2 linked regions of the Stegostoma tigrinum genome follow. The protein of the gene in region 1 binds, or shares a complex with, the protein of each later gene. Links are inferred from orthologs where the notes say so. Each region holds a gene or a part of one and is shown on either strand. Other genes may lie near its edges.

Evidence for each region.
Region 2: the proteins of growth/differentiation factor 11-like (region 1) and follistatin-A-like are in contact, whole or in part, in a crystal structure (PDB 5JHW), measured with the Homo sapiens proteins. The link is inferred for Stegostoma tigrinum from reciprocal best matches to the Homo sapiens genes GDF11 and FST. Residues at the interface, in NP_005802.1 of Homo sapiens: Asn299, Leu300, Gly301, Leu302, Glu310, Arg312, Asp328, Trp329, Ile331, Ala332, Lys334, Arg335, Tyr336, Lys337, Tyr347, Met348, Phe349, Met350, Pro354, His357, Gln361, Ile380, Asn381, Leu383, Phe385, Asp387, Lys388, Gln389, Gln390, Ile391; in NP_037541.1 of Homo sapiens: Leu34, Arg35, Gln43, Val44, Leu45, Tyr46, Lys47, Thr48, Arg60, Ser62, Asp72, Asn73, Leu75, Phe76, Met79, Ile80, Leu134, Asp135, Arg149, Gln153, Pro154, Glu155, Val180, Val181, Asp182, Gln183, Tyr188, Val190, Thr191, Asn193.

Annotation. Positions count from the first base shown.
Region 1 is NC_081404.1:18,609,024-18,625,037, reverse strand, and holds the start of growth/differentiation factor 11-like, read left to right. Parts: upstream 1-8,508; 5' UTR 8,509-8,661; coding exon 8,662-9,043; intron 9,044-16,014. UniProt on the Homo sapiens protein: Secreted signal that acts globally to regulate anterior/posterior axial patterning during development. May play critical roles in patterning both mesodermal and neural tissues. It is required for proper vertebral patterning and orofacial development.
Region 2 is NC_081354.1:127,247,917-127,264,130, forward strand, and holds follistatin-A-like, read right to left. Parts: upstream 7,430-16,214; 5' UTR 7,271-7,429; coding exon 7,186-7,270; intron 5,958-7,185; coding exon 5,766-5,957; intron 5,355-5,765; coding exon 5,136-5,354; intron 4,683-5,135; coding exon 4,455-4,682; intron 3,375-4,454; coding exon 3,147-3,374; intron 1,879-3,146; coding exon 1,778-1,878; 3' UTR 1,163-1,777; downstream 1-1,162. UniProt on the Homo sapiens protein: Multifunctional regulatory protein whose primary function is to antagonize members of the transforming growth factor beta (TGF-beta) superfamily including activin, myostatin, GDF11 or bone morphogenetic proteins (BMPs).

The sequences.
Region 1 (16,014 bases):
GAGATCAGAACAGGACTCAGGACAAACAATCCAGAAAATGTCCCCGGCAGTAGGAGGACTTAGCAGTTAGGATGGTTATCTTAATTAAGCATCAGCTTGACTGAGTCACATTAATAAAATCAAATCTATGTCCTTTCCCACTGTGGCAGGATAAATCCACCAGAAGTGATGTATGGTTAAACTGCAGAGGCCTGGCAAAATAGGAATCAGGGAAAGCTCTTCACTGCTTGGAGTCATACTTGGCACAAAGGAGGATGGTTGTTGTTGGAGGTCAGTTATCTTAGTTCTAGGTCATCTCTGCAGGAGCTCCTCACAGTCGTATCTTGGGCCCAACCATCTTCAGCTGTTTCATGAATGACTTTCCCTCTATCAATAAGGTCAGAAGGGGATTTTCGCTGATGATAGCACAATATTCAGTACATTTTGCAATTCCTCAGATACTAAAACATTCCATGTCCAAATGCAGCAAAACCAGGACAATATCCAGGTTTGGGCTGATGAGTGGCAAGCAATATTTGTGCCACACAAATGCCAAGCAATGACCATCTCCAACAAGAGTAAAACTGATCATCTGCCCTTGACATTCAATGGCATTACCATCACTGAATTCCCCACTTTCAACAACTTGGGAGTTATCATCTCCAAGACAGAATCTAACCACCACTCCCTTGATATTCAAAGGTGTTATCACCAATGAATTCCCCGCTATCAATATCCTGGGAATTACCATTGACCAGAAATTGATCTGGACCAGTATGGCTACAAGAACAGGTCAGTGTCTAAGAGTCCTGCAGAATGAACTCACCTCCTATCTCCCAAAGCCTGTCACCCATCTGCAAGACGCAAGTCAAGAATGTGATTGAATACTCACCATTTGTCTGAGGGGTGCAGCTCCAACAACACTCAAGATGTTCAACATCATCAGGACAAGGGCAGCAGATATATGGGAGCACCACTACTCTCAAGTTCCCCTTCAAGTCTCACACCATCCTGACTTGGAAATATATCACCATTCCTTCAGTGTTGCTGGATCAAAATCCTGGAACTCCCTCCTGAACAGCACCGTAGCTGTTCCTACACCAAATGGGCTTCAGCAATTCAAGAAGGCTTATCGCCACCTTCTCCAGGGCAACCAGGTCAGCCAGTGACGCATTCATCTCTGTCAACAAATTTAAAAATGGAGTGAATTCTCATGAAGTCTGATTCATTGGAAACAAGTAAAAACATCCCAAGACACTTCATAGGTGTGTCATCAAGTAAAGTTTGACTCCGCATCACATAAGAAGATGGAGTATAAGGTTCAAAAGCTGCATCAAAATAGTTGGTTTTGAAGAGCACCTTAAAGGATGCAAGTAATGTAGAGAGATGGAAAGGTTTAAGGAGGGAATTCCAGAGTTTAACAGCCCAGGCACCTGAAGACACAGTAATCAATGGTAGAGTGACGGAAGTTGAAGGATGCTCAAGAGGCCAGAATTAGAAAAGCTTAAAGATCTCAGAGGATTGTTGGGACTGGAGTAGATTATAAAGAAAGGGAGGGATAAGACCATGGAGGAGAATTTCACAATCAACAGTAATCACCACCTACTTCCCTTTCAACTGATGAATGAATATTCCTAAATATAAAAATAGAGGACTTAGGAGCAGCAGTAGGCCATTTGGCCCATCATTCGTTAACTGCATAGCTGACCTTGTTACAGTCAAACTTGGTCTTCCCTCTATAACTCCGACTGCCTTGTCAATCAAGCCATGAATAGATCCAGTTACCAATGCTTTCTGGGAAGACGAATAACCTTCTGAGAGCAAACATCCTCTTCTCTATCTTAAAAGACTTATTAATCTTAAACAGTGTCGCCTAGTTCTTGTCTGTGCCAGGAAACATCTGCCCAGTAACTGTCCGGTCAGTTCCTTTCAGGATCTTGTATGTTTCAATAGATCACCCCTTGCTTTTCTAAACTCTCAAGGGGTATAAATCTGGCCTGTACAACCTTTCTTTGTAAGATAAGCCTTTCAAGAATAGATTAGTGATCCCTCATCTGAGAAAACAGTCTTTATGGTCAATTTCAATAAAGAAGTAAAGTTCTTAAATTGAGGTGATCCATTCCAGATGACTATCACTATGGTGCATTAGTGTACACATTAAACTAGCTACCTCTCTCTTCAATTGCTTCTCTTCAATGACATTTTCTGCCAATTTAATATAATTAGAAGGAAACCAAGGGAAGGAAAGCATTGAATATTTTCAGTGCAGGTAACTTCAAAGCCCTTAAAGAGAACCTGAATTTAACACCTCATTTAAAATGTGGCACTTCCAAAGTACACCTATCTCACAGTATGATCCATCCAACAGTACTGCACTCCCTCAGTACTGACCCTCTGACTGTTCAGTATTCCCTCAGTACTGCTTTTGCACCACTCCCTCAGTGCTGATCCTCTAACAGTGCAGCATGCCCTCAGTCCTGGTGCTCTCAATCTGGATTATATACTCAAATCTCTGGATAGGGTCTGAAATCAAAGCTTTGACTCTGACATAAGAGTGCTACCAATTGAATTGAAGCTGAAACTCCAATATATGAGAATAATTTATCAAAGGCAATACATACTACAAAACATTGATGATCAGTTCTGATGAAGGGTCTCATGTAAAAGCAATAATTTATTTGACCTCTCTACAAATGCTATGTTTCTAGTACTCACGGTTTTTGTTTCAGATTTCTATCTTTATCATTTCTGTTCCTATCTCCTGGGTTTTCTTGTTATTCATCCCAAAATGTTCATAAAAGCAGTCAGTCCACAAATCACTCCATTGTCAGATATTGTGGAAAATGGTGGGAGGGTTTATGACTGAGTGTTTTTCTTACTGATGGAGAGAGTGTCAAAGCCTATTTCATACGACACCTTTAGTAGCAAATTAATATTTTTAAAAAACAAATATAAAATCATTTATGTAGCTATTTTGGTCCTCTTTGACCCATAATTAATGGTTTAATTGGCAAGTTACCATTTTAATACATTGATACCGCTAAATGTAATGAGACTAAAAGCATCTTTTGATGTCCATAAAACATATTTTTGATGAGTATTAATAATGATTAAACAGGACCACAGATGGTACAATTTCACACACAGCTCCTTTAGTGTTTAAAGCTCCATTAAGCTTAGACTCAGCACATGCATAATAAATGATATGTGCTTCGGCACAGGGATTCTTTAATGAATGGTGTCACTGGCTTCCACATCAATCACTGCCAGCTCTCACTATATGCAAAATATTGATTCACTTTTAAATACATTTTATTGATGAAACAATTAACTTGTCATCTGATCTCTCCCCCTCATCTCAAGCCTCTCTCCCATTCTTATTTCTGTGGATGATTCTGTCAATATTGCTCAATGACCTCTCCTCATCCTTTCTCAGTTCCATAAGCCCCCAGTTTAAGTGCCCTCTCTACTTGCATCCACAATGTGTTGAGATGACCCATTGCACCACCTCCAACTCCAACTCATTCATTCCCAGGCTCTCCAAATTGTGCATGTCTTGAGCTACTTGAGCCTTCCCTTCCCTCCCCTCCACAATCTACAGGCATTTAAAACCCAAACTGGATTTAATCGCACCCCTGCTCCAACTCTCTGCATCATGATTGTGTGGTGCTCTGTACACTAGGTCTTGCTTCATTACGTGTGGCTCAGTGAGTAGCAAGCACCCATGCTCTTGAGAATTGACCGAGTACTGCAGTGTCAGAGATACCATCTTTGAGACAATGACACATGAAACCTGTCTGCCCTCTCAGGTTGGACGTAAAAGATCCTGCAGCATTTTTGGAAGAGCAGTAGGGAGTCCACCCTGGTGTCCTGGCCAACATTTATTCCTCAATCAATATCACAAAAAAATAGGGGATCTGTCATTATGACATTGCTGTTTGTGAAAGATTGTGTGCGGATTTAAAATAAGCAGTAGATCATCAGTAGGACACCTTGAAATAAATACAACAAAAACAAGAAATTGCTGGAGAAACTCAGCAGGTCTCGCAGCATTTATGTCGACAGATTTTGTGCGAACACAATCTGGTGAAAATCTGCTTGGAAAATGAAGTTGCAGTATGGTCCAGTAGGTGGCAGGCTGTGCCCAGCCTCCGCCGAGGGGGAAGCTGCTTTCCCGGAGTCGGCACCAGCTCATGACGGTGACATGGTCCAGCAACCTGCAGAACACTGTTCACTCCGTGTCCACCACAATATGCTCACCCTTCGGCGTATTGTAAAAACTGCAATTAATTTAATAAATTCTACATAATTCAAAAGTCAGCATCTTTTGTCCACACCACCACCTCCCCTATTCCCACATTTAGCTGGATTAGGATTTTGAGGGACTGAGAATGGAATTCCATACTGTTTAGGAAGTTTGGGAGGGGAGCGTGGCAAGGTGGGGTGGGTAGGGTCTGAATTAAATCCGATGAAGTTAAATTGATTTCATATCAGACAGCTGGAGGGCGATTTTGCAAATGAAACATCTAAATATTATTGTTTTAAAACTTCCAAAGCCTGTAAACACTACAGATGTTTAACAAAATAACCGCTGAGTTTTATAAAACAAAACTAACCAGATTTGTTTTATTTTGGAGCGGGAAGACATGCACTGATCAGATACAGAGGGACATGTACAAGGGGACAGAAAGTAGCGAGAATGGGGATTTCAAAGGTTTCAGATAAAGGTCGGGGGTGGTGTCTATATGAGCAGGGCTATGGGAGAAGGTTGCAAAAACAAAACGAGGATTGCATTTGAAACGGCTCGGCTTTTAAATTCTCCTGGGTTAAAAAGAGGGTATTTCTCGCTTCAGTCCCAATGGATGGGCGGCCAGGTCAAGGACAGGGTCCCGGAAGGGAGGGAGGGGGTGGGGTACTCGGAAATCGATGGTTCTTGCCCCAGGGCTTCTCATCCATCAGCTGAGGCCCAGTCATTCGCAGAGACAGGCCGAATCTGCAAAGGTCACTGCAAGTCAGAGCCGACGGGCGCTGAGACAGAAGCACAGGGCGGCCGCAGTGGTTTCACAGAGCGGCGGAGGCACCGCCAGGCGGCGGCACTGGGACGCAGATCGCCCAGAACAATCCCGGGCCTCGGTTGGGTTCACTTCTCAGGACGGGCCGCACAGAGGGGGCGCGATATCATCGAGGATGGTTCAACACGGTTAAAGGGCTCAATGGAGAGGAAAGACTCCCTCTTGTATTAACGGAGACTCTAGAGAAGTTGAGGTGGGAGTGGGGAAGGGCAGAACCTTCACCACGAGAGCCAGGGCCGTCTGGGGTTGGGGGGGGGGGAGGGTGAAGGTCAGGAAGCAGAAAGGAGGGACAATCTGCAGCACTCTCCCTATAAGATGAGGCTGGCTAAGGGACGCCACTTGAACATTTAAAATCAATTGATGATAGATTTCTGTTCATTTAAGGGGATTAATAGAGCGGGTTCTTCAAGTTAAGATGTCGATCAGCTCGTATTTGACTGAGTGGCAGAACATGCTTGAAGGATTGCCTCCTCCTGTTCCTGCGGTGAATGGCCTCCCCCTTTCGTGAAACGTTGGGACTTGGTCATGTCAAACCTGGAAACCAAAGAGACTTTTTTTTGGCCTGTTTGTTCAGGCCAAGGGCTCCCACGTCATTATGGCCTTAAACTGTACAAATCAATCGCAGGTTGACATCTTTGTGAACCACAACCCCAGACAGAATCCAGAAGCGAGACAAATGTACCACTAAATCATTTTAAATAACCTTCTAATGCGTTCAGGAAAAAAAGGGATATGTTCAACGAGCCTAAATCTCTTGCTACCAATCGGGTTTCCAGGATCTCCTCCAAGACTCCTGTTTCCACATAGAATGGAAATTCTCTCCGGAAATCTGACTTGGTATAATTCATTGTCGACCAAACCTTCAACCTTTACCGTTCTTGCCCAGGCTACTGTCTTCAAGGCAGTCCCACCACCATGCGGAAATCAACAAAGTTGGAGCCAGGATTTTCCTATTGCCAGCCCACGCCCACCACGCCAAGTGTTTTTAAATCTGAATCCGAATCCAACATTCAAACAAGACAGTGAACTCCCAAAAAGCCATGGATTTTGGTGGTCAGTTGGAAGTTTCAAACCCGAGAGCTATAGATTTCTGATCGAGGGTGTGTTCAAAACAAAATCCCGCGGATGCTGAAAATTTGAAATAAACACAGGGAATGCCGGAGAAACTCAACAGGTCTGGCAGCATCCATGCAGGTTAGATAGAAAGCAGAGTTAACGTTTCGAGTTCTAGTATAATTTCTTCAGCAGTTGAAGGTTCACTGGACCTGGAATGTTACCTCCAGTATCTCTCTCTCTCTCTCTCTTGCCCCCCCCCCCCCCCCCCCCAGACGCTGAGTTTCTCCAAATCCGCCATGACCTAGAGGAAAAGCCTCATTCTATACCTGCAAAATCACCCCATGAATTTGCTTTATTCCCAAACAGTTTGCTGTGTTCGGACCGGAGACAGCTTTCTGTTGTTTTCGATGTTAAACATTTGTTTTTGAGGTTTGGGTCACAATGCGTAAACTAGCACATGAAGCTGCACCTCCTTAAAATACACCCAAACCCAACGATGGAGAAATTTCATCGCAACAAAACCCAGCGGATATCTGGTTTACAGAACGTTGGATGAAGACGCAATTTGAAAGCGTTCTGTCTGATAGTGAACAAGCTGAAAACCATGCAGGAGCAAATGACTGCAGATGCTGGAATCTGTACTGAAAAAAACGAATGCTGGAGATCACAGCGAGTCAGGCAGCATCCACGGAGAGAGAGCAAGCTAACATTTCGAGCCTAGATGGGTCTTCATCAGAGCTGAAGACTCATCTAGGCTCGAAACGTTAGCTTGCTCCCTCTCCACGGATGCTGCCTGACCCGCTGTGACCTCCAGCATTCGTAGTTTGCTGTCAGGATGAAAACTCGGTCAGCTCCTCTCACCTTTAATACGGAGAGGAAAACCGGAAACTATTCGTGTTTTTTTTTCTCCGTTGGCCTCTCTCTCACAAACAACATTTTTGCTGTTGTTGTTGGTTTATGATAAATCCGATAGAATAATTTCAGTAATTTGATCCAACGACGGAGGAAGCCAGAGTTCGACGAGTGATTTCACTTATGTCGATGTTCGCGAATCTGGGGGTCAAGATACAAGGCAAATCCGTTTTGATTTCGTTTTATACAGAAGCCTTGTTACAATTACAACTCAGGTTGAATGCAAGCCTCAAAGGACAGTTCACACCGAACGTTTAACTGATTCAATCGAATGATGCATTCTCTGGTCCTGTTTTACTTCTTGGGATTTACGAGCCCGAAGACAAGGAACGTTTTAGTCCTCTTTCGAAGACCTAAGAAATATTACCTTTTCTGTTTGCCCTGGGACGTTTTATTGCGTTAAAAGCGCTATGTAATTAGAAGTTTTTTTTACTGGTGTTGTCGAAACTGCGATTTTACGGGGGAAGCTCCCGTCCTCTTAATCTAAACCTGATAACAATCATTCAATTACAAAGCAGGTATGAACGTGCATTTCGGGTTTTTAAGTTGAATCTCTCCACAAAGTACCGACTCCCTAATAATTGCAACATTTTGCATTGTAACATCGAGTATTTTCTGACCTCGCTTGGTTTTAGTAAATATGAAGTATAGAGTCGTCACGATTTTAGCTCCCAAAACAACTTAGAATTCGTCAATGAAACGGACCTACAATTGACAATGCAGACTATTCCGAGAGTTCACTGCAACATAAACAACAAACACGTCGAGCAACATAGTTTGAAATGTAGAAATAGCTATTGCTTTAATGACAAAGATTAACAAAGTGATGAATAAGCGAGTAATTAATACACATAATAGCATCTCGTGGTTAAACGCTTTTAAAACAGACCTGAACTTAACAAGGTGAATCTAAACTGGGAGAGGAATTCGAGCTTTATTACAAGCAAATATTGTCAGAACCAAAAAGCCCCGTCTGTACCCATACCCCACCCCGCTACCCGCAAGCGAACACTGCCGCAATTGTCAATATTTTAATTTACCAGAACCCCCGCCAAAAAACTCCCGAAACCAGTGGTGTTCATTATAAGTCAGTATCACACTGATTTAAAAGGAACAACAATTTACAGAGAGAGTAAAAAAGCTAGACAGAAAAAAAAACCTGTAAAGAAATTAGAAATTAAACGTGAGGACAACGTCGGTGATTTATATACACGTTTAGGAAAGGTACTGTCACTTAAAGCGAGGAACATGAACCTGTAAACACTCCAGCTGGCGCCCCACAGAGCGCAGTAAGTGGGCTAGGAGAGCGCCCGAGAGGAGCAGAATGGCAGCCCTGAGAGCAGGTATCCTGAGACAGACAGCGCGGCTAAAGGACGAATGGTAACGGGCACCTGGCACAAGGCGATTTCTTATTTTCTCTCGCTCTCTCCTGAAAGCCTTTTGTTTGGCTCTTCAGCCAATCCTGGATTTTTACGACACAATAGTTGTGGCCAAAGTAGTGATATAAAAAGGGGCGCCTCAGTTGATCACTTATCATCCACTAGCGTGTTACTCACCGACTGTCCTCTCCTCTCCTCTCCCGGCTACAGTCTGGATTCCAGAACTTTTCATTTTCAACAGGGCATAGACACACACAGAGATCATGCATCAGTCACACGTTATCTTTTGCCTTCTGGTCTCTCTGGGATTGACAGTCAGTGACGAGCCAGTTTTGGAGAAAGATTTGGAAGCCAGGGAGAGGGTCTTGGACCAGGCGGAATGCTCAGCCTGCTTGTGGAGGGAGCACAGCAAAGCCTTGAGGTTGGAGTCCATTAAATCTCAGATCCTGAGCAAGCTGCGCCTGAAACAAGCTCCCAACATCAGTCGGGATATTGTCAATCAGCTCCTGCCCAAAGCTCCCCCTTTGCAGCAACTGTTGGACCGATATGATATTCAGAGTGATGACTGCCTTGCCAAAGAGACTCTTCTGGAAAACGACGAGTATCACGCCACGACAGAAACTGTCATTACCATGGCCACCGAACGTGAGTACCTCCGTGCCATCTCACACATATTGTGTAATGATCATGCCGATCGGCTCAAACAGAAATTAAAGGGGAAAATGCTCATACTGGGGAGTTCAGTCTCTGGCAGATTATCTTAGAAACTTGAACTGCTGTTGTCGCTAATAACGACAGTTATGTGAAATGTCGCTTAACAACCTCGTGTTGCTGTATCAGGCACCTCCTAGTAGCTCTCTTGATGAGGTAACGATTCTTGAACTATCCTCTGAGCGGTTTGGTGTGCAAATATCGCAAACAGTAAAATCCACATGCCAATGCCATCCGTAGCCATTGTGTGAGACTATGCAGTAGATCCTAAATCTTTCGTTCAAAAGAATCTGCAAACCTAGAAGTAATCTTAAACTAGCTTTTTCCCCGAAATGACAATGAATTAATTACGCCACTGTTAACAAACCAATCTTTTACCCAATATTTCTAGGTTATCAGTCTCAGATCACTATCCGAAACAACTTTAATTCTGCGCTAGATGATATTACAGGAAGTTCTATTCTACAGTTTCCCGTAGTCCTAAACCCCAATTCCCGGACGATATTTTATAAAATAGAACAAGAGTAATTTCAGACCAGAGGACATAAAATATCACGGTCATTTTTTAGATTGTTCTTCACAAAATAATAGCAACTTCTAGAATTTGGATCATTAAATATCAGTAATTTCTAAATTATAATTCAAGAAATATCGCAAGTTCTAGACTGGTTCGTTAAGCTACTACAAACTAATTTTAGACTACAGTTGATAAAATATTAATCTATTGAAATTAGGGTTATCATTCAAAATAGCACGACAATTTCTAGCCTAGAGAACATGAAATATTGCAACACTTCAACTTTCATTTCTATAGATTATGAACTATCAGAAACAGCAATTTATTGACAATAGTTAATTAAATGTCAAATTTCTAGATTATTATTGAGAAAAATCATAAACAGTACCATGAAGATTATTATTCATAAAATACTATTTTCAGAGTTCAATTTGTACAATGTCTCAGACCAATTTCAAAACCACGGCTAACATCGCAGAAGTTTCCAGACTACTGTTCAAAAATAATAAATAATCACTTCTGGACTATATTTTATAAAATATTGTAAACTAATTTCTAGAGTACTATTTAAAATATCAGATAGCGATTTACATTAAATATCGTAAAAAGTCATTTCTGTACTCCATACAATGAAACAAACACCAATTCCTAGCTATAGTTCATAAAATATCACAAAAGGTAGCCTCTAAGCTATAGATCTTACAATAATATCACAAAACAATAACATTAAGCAAAATTGAGGGTGCAGGCTGCTTGGTTCTCTTTAATACTGCACAGTTAAACATTCTGTTTGTTGTCAGAGGAAGTGGTGGGGGTGACTGGCAATGCATTGGAGTTTGTGCTGCAGGGGATATAGAAAAGCAGGGCTGTTCTTTGTGGAAGTGAAAGCAATCCTGTTATGAAGACAGGAGTAAGTTGAACTGAGGGTTGACAAGACAGTCATAACTGGGAGGAAATGATGAAGAGATTGCCCTATATCCAGTTAAGTGTCCCATCCTTTGCATATATACTTACTGCTTGGGCACAGAAGACATTGTCCCAGTAGAATGTTTCTCCTCTGCACCTTCAAAGAGGAAACGTTTGGGCACATTCATCCTTTTGCTGCTGTGTTTTAGCATAGAACGACTGCAGTGGTGCACAGTAATGTCTTGCACAAAGCAATTTCCAGTTCCATTCACTGAGTACCTCCAGCAAGATCTCCAGACAAGTTTGCAAAGTCTAGAGTTCCACGAGGCAAGTCATTTAGGTACAGGGCGCTACTTGGAGATGATTGGGGGGGGGGGGGGGGGAATTCCCATCATCTCTTTTATCCTCTTCTGTTTGTAGACACAATTGGAGGGAGAAGACCAAGATAGGCAGTGTTTGGGGGGAGTAATGGTAATGGTAAGGGGTAATGGTAACTATCATAGATAATACAACTGAAGCCACTTGGAATTCAATGGTTTGGCTTAAATGGGTTCAATGCCACCAACAAGAAAGCATTCTCCATTGAAACTCCATTTCATCATCTTCATGGCATAATATGTACTAGTACTAGCCTAGTGACCCTGTGTTACACCTCAGTATCTGAACTGTTTTAAGAGCATGAGCTTGCCTAGGCATTGCAACTCCCATTCTTCTCCTCGGAGGCTCCTGCTGAAATGAAGTGAGACAGGTTGGTTTCAGGCACAATACAACAGTTTGTCAAGTAAGTGTTTCACTCCCATCACTGAACATATGCATGCTAGAACCCAGGGACTGCAATTAGTTTGAGGAAGAGGACACTGAATTAAGTGAGGACCAAATGGAGATGGCAGGATGCCACATGTCAACAATTCAGGCAGGGAGCTGGTATGTTACTGGGCATGTATTCATATGAAAATTGATGCAGGGATGAAAAAGGCATTTGCCATTGTTTGAGACTAACACGTGCAGCCTGCAGTCACTGGTATTGGCACCTCCACTACCCCTGCAGTCACACAGCATGCCAAGGAGCTTGTGACACCTCAGAAATCTGTAGAAGAGCCCCAAAACTGAGGAAATGAGTACTAAGTAGCATTCCCATAGCACTGTGAATGACATTCATTAAAAGCTAGACTCCCAAACTGCGCACGGTGGCTCAGTGGTTAGCACTGCAGCCTCACAGCGCCAGGGACCTGGGTTCGATTCCAGCCTCGGGCGACTGTCTGTGTGGAGTTTGCACATTCTCCCCGTGTCTGCGTGGGCTTCCTCCGGGTGCTCCAGTTTCCTCCCAGAGTCCAAAGATGTGCAGGCTAGGTGGATTGGCCATGCTAAATTGCCTGTAGTATTCAGGGGTGTGTGGGTTATAGGGGGATGGGTCTGGGTGGGATGCTTCATGGGGGTGGTGTGGACTTGTTGGGCCAAAGGGCCTGTTTCCACACTGTAGGGAATCTAATCTTATTGGCACCAGATGAAAAGACTGGTCAATTATTTGCAAAGAAGGCATGGCATCTGTGTTATCCACATCCAACACAGACTACTCCATGTGCAAATCACTGGGCATCCAGATTGGATACTCAGCTATGGTGCTCAGTAGGATTCAATGGACCAATTAGGTGGTTAAAATTAACTTCTACCTCACCCCCTCCCATTCCACCCAGCGTCCTCAAACGGATTGGGCAAGTGTCTGAGAATGAATTTGCATTGGCAGTCACTGTAGACCATTAGACGTAGGAGCAGAATTAGGCCATTCAGCCAATTGAGAATGCTGCAGCATTCAATTAGAGCATGGCTGATCTAATGGTCTTTGCCTTCGCTTTCCTTCATTTTCCCCATAACCTTGAATTCCCTTACTGATTTAAAATCTGTCTGACTCAGCCTTGAATATATTTAATGACTCAGCCTTCGATGGTTAAAAAAATGCATAAGATTCACTACCCTCAGGAGAAATTCCTCCTCCTGTCTTATTCTGAGAGTACCTCCTTTGGTCCCAGGCTCTCCCACAAGGCAAAACAACTCTCTACATCTACCCTGTTAGGTCCCCGAAGAATGTTCTACGCATTGAAATTTTGAAGAATGAGAGGCAATGAGTACAAACCCAACCTCTCCTTGTAAGACATTTCCTCCACCCATATCCTAAATCAGCCTCGTGAATCTTCTCTGGATTGCCTTCAGTGTCGATATATCTTTCCTCAGATATGGGGACCAACTGTTCAATGTATTCCAGCAGCAAGTGCCTATTTTTATATTCTGTTCTCTTTGAAACAAATGTGAATATTCCATTTGCCTTCCCCATTTCCAATTAAACTTGGATGCTAGCTCTTTGTAAATCATGCACAAAGACTCCCAAATTCCTTTGTGTTGTAGTTCCTCCATTTAAATAATATACAGTTCTTCTACCTGCCAATGTGCACAACTTCACATTTTCCTGCATTGTTTCATCTGCAAATATTTTGTCCACTTGCTTAACCTGTATATATTCTTCTTCAGACTTTGTGTCATCTTCACTAGTTGCCTTCCCACCAATCCACATCACCCCCATAATTAGCTATAATACATTCACTTTCCTCATCCATTTATCTGTATTGTAAATAGTTGTGTTCCTTATTGTACTCCATTAGTTACAGGTTGCCAACCAGAAAAAGTCTCCCCTCTTCTACCAATCCCAACACTATCTTTTAGTTAGCCAATCCTCTATCCATGTTGTAATACTGCACATAGTGTTGGAGGTAGCATATCTTATCAAATGCCTTCTGAAAACTCAAATAGATTCACTACTTTGTCTCTATCTATCCTGCTTGTTACCTCTGAAAAATTCTAATCACTTTGTCACAGATGATTTCTTCTTCATGAAACCATGCTGACTCTGCGAGAGTATGCGTCTCTAAATGAGCTGTTACTACATCCTTTATAACTGATTCCAACATTTTCCCAAAAATAGATAGTAAGCTAACTAGCCTATTGATACTTGTCATTCATTTCCCTCCCTTTCTAAATAAAAGGCATTCCATTGACAGGTTTCCAATCCTCTTGGACTTTTCCACAATCTGAGAATTCTTGGAAGGTTACTAACAGTGCAGCCATGATCTCAGTAGCTATAGTCTTAATAGCCTAAGCTGCATCCCGTCAGGTCCAGGGAACTTATCAGTCTTTAGCCTCATTGGTTTCCGTAGCACTTTTAGCATTGTTTAACATGTCTCCAGAAGCAGCAAGGACAATACCTGACATGTCTAGAGTCCAAAGGCACCATCTGAACAAGCTCAGATCATCTAACCTCAATTTACCACTGTAGCTAATCCTCCAGATTAGGGAGTATATGAACTCAGCCCAAGACAAACATACCTCATTGGGAGGTCACCAAAGGAAAATGCAAGTGTAGGATTTATACCATATTGCCTATGCACACAGCACAGAATACATCCTGATCTTATAGTACCCTTTGGAAGGAATGTGCAACCTGTTCTTAGGCTTATAATAGATAAGCTTTCCACTGCTAGCAGTAGTTCTTGATCAGAGTTCTGAAGCAACCTTTCAGCCTATACATAGCATTCATGTTAATCTATTTCCTCTCCCTGTAAGCCTACTCCATATGACTTCCCATACTCACTCGTCTTTGAGGGTCACCATTTTATAGCACGCAGACAATAAATGCTTCAAGACTTTTGCTGTGTGTAGGGTAAACTTGGCCACTTGAACAGTCTATACATCGGATGAAAAAATACCATTCAGCCTCACAATCTTGTTCCAGTGGACACTGGATTACCACATAATTCTGGTGTTTTCCTTGCAACTTTAGGTGCCTCAGTACATCAGTCCTGTATTGACTTCTAGTTGGAGATCACCAACCTTAGCGACCAAGGGGTAACCTGGTTCAAAAGAAATCAAGTGATGGAAACTTTCTTACCATTGCTCAATGATTCAATCTCAAAAGACACTAGCTGCATTAACTAACCTGTAATGGTGCATCTGGAACAGGAGGTGGCAGCTTGTTGGGTGCAGTGGAGTACATCCTCATCAGTTTTCCAGGACAGAAAGCACCAGCTAGGCACACATTTGTTGGGTGGGTGGGCTCTCTAATACAGACTTACACAGGGCATGCATATAGGTATCAAGGTCATTCATCTCGATCATGCCCTTTATGGCAAAGATTGCTCTCAATTACTGTTCAGGTGGCAGCGGACCACAAATATATTACCATGTATTTCAGTGGCTGTCATCCAAGATGCAGCTACAATGTCCCCACTGTGCGTGTTCCCACAAAGTTGAAAGACACCGGTTGGATGATTTGTAGGAGAACAAGGCTACCCTCTACAATTATAAACCATTGATCTGGACACCACTGAGAGAATGTCCTTAACAGCAAAAGCAGCTTGACTTGAACATCTAACCATCTGCTTGGACTGTTATTAAAATCTTTAGGAAAATTGCACCTTGAAACTTAGATATGATGGGCATCCTGAGGCTGTGAAAAAGCCTTTGGAAATGCCTTTCTTTTCCCTTCCGGCTGCCACAAACATGGTCCAGATTATGATAGATGTTATTACAGAGGCTGAAACAAATCAATTCAAACATTAGCATGTTGCGCATGCTAAGTATGTTTGATCCACAGCTCTTGTGCAGTTAATAGACATATTTAAAATTTGCTTTTTTTTGGAAATACTATCTCAGCCTATCTTGCAGGATTGAGCAGTTTGTCTGAAGCTATTAGAGAATGCAGAAGTGTAAAGAAAAATGTTATTTGCTTCAATGATTTATAGAAGATACAATGGAGATTGTAGGAGAAGGTTCTCCTAGAATTGTGGTCAGAGACACTGAATGAGAAAAATACCAACAGTAAAAACCCAAAAATATAACCAATTTCCTTGTGTGTTGGTCCTTCTTATCCAATTCATACAGCAACAGTTAAAGTAATTCTCATTTTCCTTGTTTGGTTAGCTGCAGCTTGCAATACAGTATTGATTATCAAGTCTAGCACAGCAAACTAAACAGTTTGTAAATAAAGAAAAAATGAAGGAGGAAATAGAAGTATCTTAAATGTTTGATGCAGAAGTAGTAAATAGGTTTTGAAAAAAAAGTTCTGTGCTTATATTACAAAAAGTTATTTTGAGCTATAGATTTTGTGTAAGATGCAAATAGTTATTTTAAGTTGTACCTTGAGTGCAAATCACAGACGTTTTACACAATTGATCCTTTGTATTCATTAAAAAGTCATTTTCTGCTATAGATCAAGTGTAAGTACAAAGTCAATTTACACTATCGATCAGATGCAAGTTGCAAAGTAACGTTATGCTGTATATCACGTCGCAAAGTCACTTAATGCTGTAGAAATGTAAGGCGCAAAGTCACTTTCAGCTATATTTTGTATGTGCAAGGCATTTTGCGCTATAGGTCATATACAAATGTGGCAAACATCATTTCTTATTCCATAATTCAAATGATTGGGGTACAG
Region 2 (16,214 bases), on another chromosome or scaffold:
ACATGGCTTTGTGTCAAATTACAGAGTACCGAAGGATGTTTTGCTATGTTAACTGTGCTGTTTAAATAAATCCATAATAATTCAACAATGTTGGTTCAGTATAGATGATACTATTTTGCTGCACAAACACTCACACAGTTTAAGAACATATTAAGTTTTAAAGTATCTTGAGAAATGAGACATGCTTGGGAAAATATTCGCATGTTAGTACTCCATCCAAATAAACTAAAAGTTTATTAGCTTTCTTTAATGATTTTGATATTAGCTGTCACACAATTATTTATTTCTAATAGTGAGATTATTCCAAATGGCAGCCATATCATTTTAATTTCAGCAGATACAATCAAGTAATTGATCAGTTTTTAAATTTGACAAATATTGCAAGTATGCATTTGAGAGGAAGATAAATAAATACACCGCAAAGAAAGGAATGGCAAGTTAAATGAAAGGAAGGCAAAAAGAGACTAGTTTGGATCATAAAACAAAATGCTGGTTCCTTTGTTGCACTCATGTAAATTCATGCAGCCTGTCATTTTGGTTATTGAATATTGAGAAAGATATTACAGATTGTCAGATAATCTGACAGTCTTTTTCTGTTATATTTGCATTTTCTGCCATGTTAATAATTCATTCTTACATAACTTTAGTTCTATAGTATTATTTGGAGAAGTGAATGTAAGTAGTAAGAGATCTGCATCCACCAACTGCAAAGATTATTGTTATCATAACCATGTGACTTGGTTATGCTTATGATGAAAATGTACATTGACTGGATACATGCTCTTGGAAGACAGGTTTCTGAATGAGGAGAACAGAAATTGTGCAAGATTTTGAAAGATAACAACTTGCTCCAAATCTTAGAGAATAGCATGAATGCCCATATGTTTCCTTCTGTCGACTCAATATTATTTGTGAATGGCATGTAAAATAAGCATGGTTATTATTGCAGAAATTAATTTTTTTGTTTCATTTCATGCAAAGACTTTATTTCATTCAAATGTATAATATAAACAGAACAGCAGCATAAAATGAAAATTCTTGGTTTTTTTATTGTTATTCATTATGTATTTACAAATCAATGTTATTACTTTTTATATACATTGCACATTTACATGATAGAAAAAGTACAAAACTATATATTTAGATGAATTTAAATCTGTCATGTTCGAAAATATAAAATTGCATCTGCAACATAATACTTTAAGCAAAATGAAAACCCTGAAATATTTGCATTATGTTAAAACATTTAGAGAAACAAACCACTAAAGTCAGTCAGATTACATGCGGCCAGAAAGTGATCTGACAGCCACGCAGCTGCAGAACATTTCAAGTTGACAAGTTCCAAACGCAGCACATTTGGTCACTTATATGGCACGCTGTAAACAATATCTGGAGCTTTATTTACATTAATGTGTAACATAGTCCAATAAATAAATATACCAGGTATAACATGCAGGCAACGTAACTAAAAATTCATAGCACAAAAGGAAAATGACCAGCCACATTTACAGCTACCATAATGCAATTTACAGGTTGCATGAAGGAGTGTATTTTACAAGCATCATACGTCACAATAAATTAATGATAACACTGCTCTCTTGACGAATATATTTCCAAAACAGGTATAGTTAACCAATTTTATGCATAAATTATAAAACATGACAGTATAAATAAAAATCTACTAGACATAACTATGTATACTTCTTCAAAATAAATAAGCGTACACTTATTTACAAATAAGTACAGCGACTCCTTCCTCTTCCAAAGGTGAAGGAAATTACCAAATCGGAAATGGTGATTTAGGAAAGGTGTTATTTTCTTGCTCATCTTCTTCATCTTCATCTTCTTCAGTAATGGCTATGGGGGAATATATGGTAGCTGTTGTATGAATAAGGATCACAACAGCGCAGAACCTCAGTGCATGTTTTCAAATCTCTCTGGATAGCCACAATAGTCTCTTACATGGCACAAGAATGTAGATTGCATCATTTGTTATTATGAAGTAATTTTACATAATACCAATATTGCAGTGTGTTCTGAAGAATCAATGATCAGGCTTTATGGCAGTTTCCTGGGATGACATAGAAGTGTTCTTGCGTTCTAAATTGACATTGTATTCATCCATTGCATTCCTCAGTGCTAGTGATTAAAACCTATCAACTATTGTAATAGCTTTAAAATACAGAACAACTGTGGTGAAGCCTTTGGAAGGTTACTATTGATAAGGACGCATCAGCTTCAAAAATAATAGATACTCCAATCTATTACTATCATGGCATTATAATCCCTGATGATTTCTTCCTCTCAATGTGGACAGCAATCGCTTCAGGACCCATTGTATGGTTGTTCAAAAAACCTTCACCATTTATTAGCTATAACATTTATTTAGCAATGAATCCCAAACAATTATAACTCATTGCAGCTTTTTTTTTAAGAAAACTAATTTTAACTACAGTGACAGCAAGATACACTCTGATGCCTAGTTATGTCTTATGAAATATTATATCATTTACTTTCACACCACGATCATGAGATCCTCAATTAGACATACTCCCTCAAGGGGAAAAACAGCGCACACCATTTCCAAATAAAAATTGTACAATAGTTAAAGAGTTGTGTATAAAACAAGATAGTTGTGTTACATCAATCCTGGCAGCATTTAATAAACATGCTGATATCAGAGATGGAAAGAATGGATAATGGTGGGCAATAATCTCAATGAAATGTAGAGATTGAACATAAATGAATGGGCAGATATACTTTCTTAGTATCGATGGGGAAGGTACCTGTACTATTGCTATCACACATCTCACAAATTCTTGTGTCAAATTTCCTAATTACTCATTAGTTCTTTATTGAAACTGTTGATGGTGGGGAGGGGAAGGAAATAGATGTATCCTGTTATCATCAACATATGGCAAAATCTTAAACATGCTTATCATTAACAAATTTATTGTCTGGCTAAACCTAGCACACAGTGCATATGTTCCTCCACTGTTCATATAGAAGCATGAAAGGCATGCATATTCCCTGTTTGATAGGTACAATTGACAAGGTTATATTTGGTACAGCAAAATGTTTGGAAAGCTGATAACATAAAACCTGGCATAAACAGTGAATCTTATTGTGGGATAAAATTTACTTACAATTGCACGATCCTGTATGTTTGATCTCCAGGAGGGTGCCAGAGGAACAGGCTGTACTTTTCATTGCACACTCATTGGGGTACGTGGTGTTATCAGTGGCACAGACTGGCTCATCTGAGCGTCCACCCTGACATACATTACAAACAGCGCACCGACCCCTGCCAAGCCGGCTATCCCAGAGACACTTCTTTCCAGGGGTACACTGTATGTCATCACAGGATTTGGCTTCTGAAAAAGATAAACCCAAAATCATATTTATGAATAGAATGATTCATTCTGTCTTTGACAATACAGTCAAATGTTTGGACCAGAAAGTAAATTTAAACTCTTCAACTGCAACGATTTGTCTGACAAAATTCAAAATGAAAACCATACTAACCTACAACCCTCACAATATTCATTGTTGAGATTTCAATACACCATGCTTGATAGATTTGTCAATGGATTTTTTTTCCACATAAGAGCAGAAAACATATTTAAAGACCGTCATTGATGCTAGCACTCAACATTATATTTAAGTATCTGTAATTAAAGACCTTCATTTTGTACGTATAATTCAATAGTTTAAAAAAAATTGAGAAATGTGTTCCAAACTAAACATGAATGAGTTGAACTACCAATAATATTTAAACCAATTAGCAGAGCTGTAACATTTGCTTCTATCATTGAACGGTCATAGTCCACATGAGTAAACATACACTCCAATACACATTAAGACTGCATTTCTAATCTGGTTGTTGAAGAATTTGGAATAGGTTGAAGCTATTAGGCAAATGCCCTGCAACAAATAATTTAAGGTTAAAAGCCACAATTGGAACGATTCAATTCTGAATCTTTCTTCTGTAATGCAATAATCCTGGACATTGGAGTAGGCGAAGCCATACGAATCTGCTAAAGTACTTTTAAATACGACAGCCCCAGATGGGAAATTAAACGTTAAATGTCTTTAAGTCTTCTACAATTGCAATTATAATTGTAAACCCATAAAATTAAAATAATCTTGGAAATTTAAAAAAAATCCATGATTGACAATTTCATTTCTCAGATTTAAGAATAGGTTCAGACGACACGATAACAAATTCTGTTGATTAGCAAAAATGATCTTTTCTCTACATGCTTCTATAAGCGATATCAAATGTGCTTTTTAGAGCTCAAAATCGAATATCCAATGTACTTCATTAGGTTTGCTTTGACATTTATCCATTGCATTCCAATTATACGTACAAAAAGAAAACTCATCCCACGCTGTATTTGTACTTGTTTCGTAATGGTTTGCAGTTTACGCTTTGTGAGGTATCGTGTACGTACTTATACATTTCCCTTCGTACGCCACTCCAATGGTTCTGCCCATCAAGCAGGTGGCGCGTCTGATATGGCAGGCGCTGGCGTACGTGATCCCATCATTGCCGCACAGATATTGCTCGGGGCTCGAAGGTTCAGGGCAGATCCTCGGGTTACACATCACACAGTAGGCGCTGTTTGTCTGATCTACCACACACACAGAGCTGCCTGGACACAAGACATCTCTGCATGATTCTGTAAAACAAAGACAGCAATTAAAAACAAAAGTGAGGTGAGCACTACTGGAAGTAATCTTCTGCAATACAATCGTCTGATTTTATGAGGTTTAAGTTAGTGTTCATAGTAAACACAGATCACTTTTAAATTTGCAATATTTATTTAATAGGCGAGGATTTGGAACAATAAAGAAATGGCGGTGGAATAATCCACTTTCTATACTACCCCAATTACAAACATTTACTGAACGCAATTTAATTTAGGAACAAAATGTGGGGGAAATTATTCTGAACACAAATCAATTCAAAGTTAAAATGCGGGCGGTGTGGAGAATCACTCAATAGACACTGCAAGTGAGTTGAACAATCTGTTAGTTCGCACTAGGAGAGAATGGAATGCAAACATCCTTTAAGCGAGCGGCTCGTCCCTTGCAGAATCGTGTTATTGAGTATGTACTTGTTGCACACATACTTTTACATTTGCCTTGATATTGGACCTCGAGTTCGGGATGCCCTTTGCACCTCGCCTTCAGCAGGACACATTCATCTTTGTATGTTTTCCCGTCTGTGCCGCAAACGGAGCCCTTCCAAGTGACGTTGGAGCAGTCGGGTGCACAGACACATCGAGGTTTATTCTTTTTGTTCATTTTGCACTTTTTACCTGGACCACAATCGACGTTATCACAGGTTTCTATTACAGGGAAAGAAAGACAAGAGTTTTGTGGAAATTGCTTCCATGCATCAATATAATGTTCGAAATGTAAAGTTACATGCCCATTCTTACTAACTGAACTGAGTAATTTATGACAGAACGTTTTGCATTTTTATAAGCTTTCTGTTTCCAGATGTTTAATGCAAGGTTTGATAAAACAGCGCAGACTCAGTCGCCATCTTAACAAACCGCTTAGAAAGCCATGACAATCCAGCGAGTCTTTCTGAAGCAGTTCACTCCAATGAGTCGAGACCGAGTGGGTGATTAGCCAAAGCAAACGCGCATTAGAATCATTTCGCGAGCGATCTGTAAACTTTAATAGGCCTTGCAGGATCCAGTGAAGATGAGCACCAACAGTTCCGAATCAGATAGACCGAGTGAAATCTGTACCTTTACAAGGCGTACAACCCGGGGCTCCACCGTTAAAGATAATCCATCGGAAAAGGGTACTGGATGGCACATCATCTTCGGTCCATGCTGTGCCCAACCTTCCACTTTTGCAGCACTCTTCGCGGCTGACCCCGGTCATGTAAAGAACCTGGCATTTGCCGTTCTTGGCTTGCTGGAGCCAGCAGTTCCCAGCTGCAACACACAGTCAGAGCAGTGTCAGTTTCACCGTTCCAGACACAACACGTGCGCTGTGTATTGACGGTACACGAGTGTTTACTTCAAAGTTTTCCGTCTCAGTCTGGGTGAACCGAGGAGCTTAAAACCACCGACATTTCCCCGCCATGGACAGTAACCGGGTTGCCCCTGAAATGTACACCTCTCTGCCATTACCTTGTGCCTACTTTGAATCGTGACATGTCCCACTTGGAAAGTTACTTGGCTCTGACCCAATACAGCGCAGGCTGAAGTACTGTAAACGCGTGCGGTGGAACAAAAAAAACTGCCAAAACTCATCCTTACAGCGAAAACGCAGAGCGCAAAATCCGAAATAAATAAATGATTGGCGGCCTACTTGTCTCAGACTCATGCGAAAACAAACTTTGGTTGACAATTCGACAAGCGTCTGTATTTATTCTGTATTTACCTACGGCGTCGGTTATGTGTTAAGTGTTAACCGTTGATTTTTAAAAATCTATTCATACAGTCACTCCGGAATAGAAACATAGTCTATTTTCTGTAGTATTAACTCGTTCCAAAAATGCCTGAACTCTGCTGCCTCTTCTGGATAGTCTAGACTTCTTGTTGATACCGCCTGATATCAATCTAAATATATACTGTATATCGAGTTTTCAGTTACATGGAAGAGACTTTGTTGAGGTAGCAATATAGAACAGGCAAATTTAACATCACACAAGTCAATAATTTCCATTGGACCCAGTTATCATACTCGCTTCTTAATCCTGCTTCAGTCGCATGGTGTTACCGATGTGAGCAACATTTAACAGCTCGATCGGACGTTTACATGTTCGATCCATCTGCAACATCAATGAGGCGTTTTGTTTATCAGCAATTCCCCTTTGCTTCTAACTGAATAGTGATCGAGTAAACTTTCACTATCAGGATCCCAGCACATCCTATTTATGCTTAACTATTTGCTCAGAGATAATGCTAAATTGCACCCTGCTTTAATTCTGTACGGCCACATTCTGGTAAATGTGAATTGAGTACACAAACACGTGTGCTACATCGTATTTTGATCTGAAAAGTTTGGAGTAGAAGTAAAGGATAAACCGAATCAGCGTTGGGCTTTATCTTCACTCGAGAAAATAACATGCAGGCACATGACCAAACAGAACATGAAACTAAGAGCCATGTCCACAAATGTATACAGAGAAGAGGTCTCCAAACTGCTTTAACTTACCCTGCACTCGCTGGTCTCCAATGGTGAGGAAGATAAAAAGTGAAATGGTGAGAGACGCTGTTCTGCTGTTTAGCATCCTTAGCATTGTGGCACGCAATTTCACCGCAGCTAAGTACTGATCTGAGAGCACCAGTCAAGTCCGATCGCTGTGTTGAATGAACGTCAATCTGTGAATGCAGTCACTCTTAAATATTTTGGCTGAAAGGGGTCTTGGCTGGTCTCTTTGGTGGGCGGTCTTCTGATGGCATGGTGATGCGTTTGGCAGGATGGGGGAGGAGGAAGTGATCAAAAAAAAGTTAAGGTGGACGGAAACTTAATCAGGTGACATTTCACCGCCTCCTCTAAACTTTTCAGTTAAAATCTCCGTCAATTTCACAAACACAAAATACATCTGTATAACATCCGAGAGCGTAGGCATCCGAGTCTGGTTACAGGTCACAGTGTCAATTTCTCTCTGTAATTGACAAGATTGTACAAGCTCATGGAGAAAGATTGCGGGGGCGGGAAGGGGCTGAAGTAAAATATACTGTTCCTAGGTGTATTAAGGCTTCTGCTTTATTTTGTTCTCTTATTGGGCCACCTTTATATCTACAGCGCAGTAGACATTCTAACCTGTTGATTTTTTAACCAAGCTATATTCCGAAAATAGAAGCCAGACACCATCAGTGGGTCAAAGTAACTGGTCTCAATCTATGCACAAGAAAATATAACAGCAGCCAGAGTAAATGCCGCCCAGCTTTTCTAATCCAATTTCTCTGGTAAAGCGACAACTCCACCCTCAGCTCGCCCATAACCTGTGTACGTAATGTCGATATTTCGTCTCATGTCTATGTCTCGGAGGGTTGGATAGTACTGAAAAGAGTTTATTGTTATGTCTAATCTCCATTAACTCAGCATCAAAAAGCGCGTGGGGTGGTTTTTGCATTGCAGTGTTCTCTTGCAGACTCCTACAGTTTGAACTATTACCAGTATTTTAGTTTTATTATTTATATTAATGATTTCTTGCCACCTGAGTATTTCGGGAAATGCATCACTGTATTAAATGGCTATAGTGCAAACCAAGGACACTGACACCGTGGGTGTGTTCAGCCAGTAGGTATTGGAAAAGCAGTTAGATTTAATACCCAGATCTGGCAAAGTTACGCGTCTCTGTAACTGGAGCAGACTTCGCATGTCTGTGAAATGCCGTAGGCGGTCTCGTATTTTCCATTTGAGATTGTGACATCGAAAGTCGAATTTTAGTGTTGCTCAATGAACTCGCTTTTGGCGGAGAGAAAAAGTACGTAGGCGATCTGTCGCCGCCTATCTCGGGGATTACGTTTCCTTGTTTCATTACCGTTTCGGCGCTATTGCGTTCTGTCCGAAACCTCACCCCAAGAAAAAGATAAAACGCGCGGTCCGACTTTAATTGTATTCAGCCTGATAGGTACAAACAATCAGACAACTTTTTTAGTGTTGATAGGTGCAATGATCTGACTAGAAATAACTCCGCGATAACAGACAGTTTCCACCAGCTGCGGGATAAAGTAGTAATCCTTTAATAAAGACTTATTACAATAGGTTCTTAAAGTCTCTTTATAATAATCGTCAGAAATGCAATCATTCTAATATTAGCAGAGACAGTTGTTTGGGTGCCTCAGGCTGGTGGTAGTAGTTACACTATTTAACGTTCAAAATAGACCTGACAGTGCCATGCCAGCGGACAGTAGGAAAACTTGTTGCACAAGGCAGTTCCACGCAAATAATTTCCGTTTTCAATGCTGCGAAACCGTATTTTCTGTCCCAGATTATCCTGGCCTGTTATTCCACAACATGGCAATTGTGGTTTGATACACGTGCAAAAAAAAACTAATGCAGCCCCCTAACGATCCAAACGAGGCAATTGCAGCTAAAGTGTGCACCAATCGTGATTTCCAGTTTATCTCGCCAAAGCGACCAGAGACTTTCCTTCTTGCCAAATCTAGATTCTGTGTTAGTAGAGTTAGAACCGTGAAAAGTCAACGTAACTGTCACCTGGCGAAGGAAGTCTGGGTTTGAGCAGATACTGGTAAAAAAAACCAAGATAACCTAAAACATACCGAAATACACCTACCATTCCCAAATCAAACTGCGCAGCAGTAGATAACAACATTAGGTAGACGCGAGACATCACATTATATTAGAATTTATTTTTTTAAATAGGCAGTGGAAATTACCAATATGAAGATATTTGTACTGCCATTGTGCCATGTGTCTCTTGCCAATGTTGTTCACATACCTATGTATTTGTTTCTGAAATCCCCTTCCAACGGGAACTACGCACATCTGTCATTCTCGTGATTTACTTCGTTTTATGTGCGTGTCACTCTGGCTATTGGATGTTCAACGTTTGTAATCCAACATCAAGTATCTGTTACAGATTGAGGACTGACGAACTGGACAATCTCACCCAGTTCTGATACATCTAGCGAATAATACCGACTGCTGAGCAATTTACATCCTCAAAAACAATAAAAGGAAAAACAAGAGTTTTGAAAACAAACATAGAATTGACAATAAATTTAAAAGATTAATATTGGAGGCAAACTGACGGGTGTGAAAAATAATAGAAAACAAGTATTGCGCAATATAAATCGTTATCCATAAATGGTAATGAAAATGGTAATGAAAAATCAAGGATAAATGCTGCAACAAAGGGGAATATAAAATAGCACATTAAGATAGTTCCTTTATTGATTCACGGGACGAGGGTGTCCCTGGCTACGCAGCATTTATTGCCCATCCGTAACTTCAGTTAAGAGTTAATCACATCGCTGTGAGTTTAGGTCAGACCAGGTAAGGATGGCAGTTTCCTCCACTGAAAGACATTAGCCAACCAAATGGGTTTTTCCCCGACAATCGATTCCAAGTCGTCATTAGACTCTTAAGTCAAGATATTTTTATTGAATCCAAATTCCACCATCTGCCAATAGCGGGATTCGAAGCGGCTCCCCAGAGCATTATCTGGGTCTCTGGATTAACAGTTTACTGATAACACCGCTAGGCTATCATTTCCCAGTGAGGGGATAGATAGTGAGGGCGGGAAACAGGAATGTCGAGGGTGGAAATTTATGAGAATGAAAATAAAGGAGACTGAAATGCAATTTCCGCTCGTCTACAAGGAAACTGAAGTGAGACCTCTGCAGGACGACAGTTGTATACGCTCATGCACATTTTTGACCCAGTTTCCAGAATCCGACAGGTGCTTGTTGGAAGTTTTACGGATATTGATGAGTTTCATACTAAACTTGAGCAATTAAGAATATGAGTCAAAGTGTTTAAGTTATGGTGACTAACAACAATTTACTATGGCAATCAAAAACTTTAAGGCAATCCGTTACTTCCACTTTGAAAACAGAAACCTTGTCAATTTCATAACAGCATTTGAAACAATTAATCTGCAGCTCCGAGGTATTTACAATATTTGGTGCTTTTCACAAGACTATAACATTGTTAATCAATCATTCAGCAATCCGAATGTGAAACAGAATTTGCGTTCTTCTACAATCCAGAATTGTTTCGATACGAGTACGATATTATTTATCAATATATTTGTATTTGAAGCTGGTTACGAATATGGTTATTTCCTTAGATAATCTAATACGTCAAGCAGCATAGGCCTAGTTACTGCTTCTAATATGCAGAACACTATAGTTAATTCTAAGATCTGAACACAATCCATATCCAAATATTCTGCAAAATTAAATGAAACAAATGAGCTTTACTGTTGTGCCTATTGATTGCATGGAAAAAATAATTAACTAACAACGAGGGGCTTTGGCATTTAATTGCTGGATACCATTTAAGGTAGAATTGAAATCAACGGTTTAGGTCGTCTGTCTCTAAGAGACAAATGCAAACATTTGTCAGCTTTTATTCGAAAAAAGCTTCTATACCCTCCCAAAGCCATTTTCGAATAGCTTGCTACGTGCTTTGAAAATTTAAACATTTTCGTAGCTTTACAAACCATCAGGCAAGTCCTTACTAATTTATAACCATGGGAAGACATTTGTTATTAAATCATCCACAAAAATAAGAAAAATATCAACCACCAAACGGTTAATAAATGCCGGAAATAACCAAAAACACAATAGATCGATCAGCATTTGTAGAGAGCGCCGTCCTGACTGTTTACACTTAATAGGTTCTGACTTCGTAAATTGGTTTTCACAGATATTGACTGCCACGAAATGACTAATACTCTTGAGTACCTGGAATTGTTCAGCGACAAAACAAAGTAAATTACGTATCAAATAAACATGTTCATGAAATGGCGCAGGCCATAAAACAATTGTTTTTGACGAATTTGAGTAACCGTTATCACACCTGTAAGTGATGCACTTGTTCGATCGAGGTTGTCAGTAGTCAAAACTAAACTTGGCAATTGAGTAGCACCCCACTATGAGCATTTATTTCAAATAATTCAACAGAAGGAATTGGATTGTTATGCTCGATGTTATCAGGCAAATTCTCACATGGACCTCAAATAATACCAAACTAACGGGAAAGTACATATTACCTTTAACTTCCCTGAACGTGTTACTTTCGGGACGCGAAGTATCCCAAACAATATATATCATCATAAATATCGTCGTAAATGTCAACAAGTTCTAAAGAAGTCTTGGTGTTTGGTACGTGTCAAGAGGTCCCTTTTACAGTCAATCTGACATACTTTCAATATCTTACTGAAGATTGTTTTAAAAATCAAAAACAAAGAAACGTAATTGCACTAACCGATGCGTGACTAGCACCTTTAGGTTCAACATTTTAAAAATAAAATCAGATCCAAGTTGTAATTTACTATATCAAATTCATGAATACAGCAATGCCATATAATGGCGCAGTAGAAGGGAAAGGTAAATGTACAGTTTCATTAGTCGATTTTCCTGACTGTTTGATATATTCATTGTTAATAAATAGAGTTGAATGACGACCAGAAATCCAATAAAGATGAAACTCTGCTACTGAATGTAAACACGTTCATATTTATGACATCTTATTCTTTGTATTGTTCTATTTATTACATCAACTATTTCACAACTTGCCTACAATATTGTGATTAATTTAACCATTAAACCTACTTAATGGACATTAATTCATTTCGATGCCACAGATTTAGCTCTGATAGTTGAGATACGCTAACTGTATCTTGGAGAGCGCAAACCTAATTTGTACAATGTCCCGAAGAATGTTATGTCAAAGAATCGGATTGTCTGTTTTCCAGCTATTAACAGACTCCTGGATATACATACCAAACAGATTTCTGTTTTTTTTTGTTTTTTTTTGTTTTGTATTTTGGAAGGTGGTTGGTTGGAAGATTAGTGAAGCAGAAGAAAATCTTTTTCACCCAGAGGGTGATGGGCATCTAGTATTCACTGTCCAATGTGACGGTTGTTTTGTGTTTTTTTGATTTTTGTTTTGTAATTAAGATGCTGGACACTATTTTTGATCTCATTCTGATGTGTTACCATTATAGTCCTGAGGTTGCGACTAGAACTAATCACGCCAAATATTATTTGATAACGCTGTTTATAGGTTTCACTACCTTTAATAGCAACATAAAAAGGAAACTTGTTGTTTCTATTTATCCTTAATGTCTTACTTGACTTCTGTCTTCAAAATCATCCAGCCTAATGAAAGGTTTATTTTAAACAACAATTATTAGTTTAGTGAGGAAACTAGCGAATGACCCAATTAGGTCACAGAATGAGGGCTGAATCCCGAGCTTCAACAAATAGATCAATAAGATCAAAGAAAAGTGACAAACCAAATATTCAAAAGTACAGTCAGATTGAAGACAAACACCTTCCGGAAGTCACATTCATTACAAGAAGCTCCAGTTTCAATACAAGTGATCGTCTTCGTGTTTTTGGTGATAGACTTCGGTGTAAAGACACATCCCGAGTTACCGGGTATGTAGGCACGCGTTGGCAATCGGTTTAGTAGACTGCAGCCACTTGGAGAACCGAGAAGGCCTGCATATTAATGATATAAATCGACATCCAGCCACCGTAAAACAACAATCTTTTTCATGTGCATTATTGATCCATTTTTGTACAGTACGCAAAGTCACTGGTTCTCCCCCGTCATTGAGAAATGAGCAAAGTCTTGGAACGTAATTTGTAATTTTCAAATGACCAAGAGAATAATACAACAATAGAAAAGTTATGACACAGAGAGAGGTCATGCAGATCGGCTGCCCATTTTATTCTCACTTTTCAGAGCCTGGAGTATGGCTTTATAGATTTAGGAGCCTGATTTATGAGTTTTCTCCTCAACCGTCACATTGGACAGTGAATACTAGATGCCCATCACCCTCTGGGTGAAAAAGATTTTCTTCTGCTTCGCTAATCTTCCGACCAACCACCTTAAATTTCTTCCCACCGGTAAATGACTTTTCCTCTATCTAATCCCCTCGTTATTTTATACATTTGTATTATAAAACAAACTTTGTCATTTTCAATGTCTGTAACCTTCCATTAAATTATTGTCATTAATGACTTGGCATTGTAGAAAACAACTGAGTGCTTTGCCTTGTTTTATTTAAATTAATAAAAGAGTTGAGATACATAAGATTATAGATACAGAACTTTTCATGGTCGCACTTGCCCATTACTCAGGTACCCATTCTATATCACTCTTGCATGACTTGGTGGTGCGAAATTTGAAACTTTCTTAAGTGTGATACAAACATTGCTGAAAATTTCAATTTGTTCTCATTACGACAAATACAAGAATGTTGCATTTTTAATGATCACAGCAATTTATACAACAGAAGAAAGAGATGCTGAGTTGTTGTCAAGTTGACTCTGATTGGCTGAGGCATTGCCATGGAGAAAATTACAGAGACCTATCGGAATCCACCTTTCAGGTAGTTCACAAAAGGTGCCAAGCTTGAACATGTTCCTTTCCTCCTTAGAAAACGGGTTCCATCAAATATATGTTGCAAAAATAAATGTCAGTTGATGAATTTAGATAAATATTTTAAATTGACTGTTCATGTAGCCAATAGCGCATAAAATTGTTCAGGAAGAGCAGTCCGATCACAGAAAAATGCAATTAAGCAATGCTGCACATGAACTTCAGTGCCAGAGATAATAGGAACCGCAGATGCTGGAGAATCCAAGATTACAAAGTGTGAAGCTGGGTCAACAGAGCCGGCCAAGCAGCATCTTAGGAGCAGGAAAGCTGACGTTTCGGGCCCAGACCCTTCATCAGAAAAGGGGGATGGGAAGAGGGTTCTGAAATAAATAGGGAGAGAGGGAGAGGCGGATCGAAGATGGATAGAGGAGAAGGTAGGTGGAGAGGAGACAGACAGGTCAAAGAGGTGAGGATGGAGCCAGTAAAGGTGAGTGTAGGTGGGGAGGGAGGGAGGAGATAGGTCAGTCCAGGGAGGACGGACAGGTCAAGGGGGAGGGATGAGGTTATTAGGTAGGAAATGGGGTTGCAGCTTGAGGTGGGAGGAGGGGATAGGTGAGACGAAGAACAGGTTAGGGAGGCGGGGAGGAGCCTGGCTGGTTTTGGGATGCAGTGGGGGGAGGGGACGAGCTGGGCTGGTTTTGGGATGCAGTGGGGGAAGGAGAGATTTTGCAGCTGGTGAAGTCCACACTGATACCATTGGGCTGGAGGGTTCCCAAGCGGAATATGAGTTGCTGTTCCTGCAACCTTCGGGTGACATCGTTGTGGCACTGCAGGAGGCCCATGACGGACATGCCGTCTGAGGAATGGGAGGGGGAGTTAAAATGGTTCACGACTGGGATGGTGCAGTTGTTTATTGCGAACCGAGCGGAGGTGTTCTGCAAAGCGGTCCCCAGGCCGCCGCTTGGTTTCCCCGATGTAGAGGAAGCCACAACGGCTACATCGGGTGCAGTATACCACATTAGCAGATGTGCAGGTGAACCTCGGCTTGATGTGGAAAGTCATCTTGGGACCTGGGATGGGGGTGAGGGAAGAGGTGTGGGGGCAAGTGTAGCACTTCCGGTGGTTGCAGGGGAAGGTGCCGGGAGTGGTGGGGCTGGAGGGGAGTGTGGAGCGAACAAGGGAATCACGGTGAGAGTGGTCCCTCCGGAAAGCAGACAAGGGTGAGGAGGGAAATATGTCTGGTGTGGGGTCGGATTGCAGATGCCAGTGTGATTTAAGATACGCAAGTTTTATGTCCCGGCCTTTGCCTGATTTAATCAACAAATATCCTTTTTCTGTTGTTCATAGTAGGCAGAGTACAGACCGTGCTTGACCAGCCATACTTGCAAAAGCCAAAACAAAATATTAACTCATAGATATTATTCTGCAATTGAACTGCATTGCCGAGCAACCCTGAAATCCCGAACAAGTAAACACTAGCTAGTAAATTAAGATAATCAGTCCAGCTCATAACATGGCTTATTTGTGTTTGTTAGAAGGAATATCAACACAGGAACCAATTCTCTAGGGACAAAATAAATGTATTCAAACATGTTGCATTTTCTTTGGTTCAACTTGGAGTGGGGAGAAATAGTTCCGTTTCCTTTCTTCATGCTAATACCTTGGCCAATCAGAGTTGTCTTGCCAGCCCTTTCTCCTGTAGTTTCATTTGTTTTGACTATTTGAAAGTTGGAAATCCTACGTTTGTCGTCAAGAGTGCAAAATGAAAAGTTTAAACGACATCTCTTCAACAATGTTATACTTAATTGCAAAATACACCCCCATAAGAAATCATCCCATCCTTACAAAAATACTGGTGTCACAAACTTGAAGCAAACTAGAGTTTTCAAAACTTCAGGTTCAAGTTTGAATCGTCTGTGAAATGCCAAGTAGAGAAATCAAAAGAAGTGAACTGATGGGACAAACGATGCAAGGAAAGGCACTTGTAATATGATAAATTATTTGCCATTCAAGATCACTCTCATAGGCGAAGTATTCTCGCCACTTGAAGGATACATTATGTTGTTGCGAGGTTTTAAAAGGGCGCCCAAGGAAGTTTTTACTGACATGTAGAACTATCACGCCTTTCAGCTACAGGAATAACTTTTCGC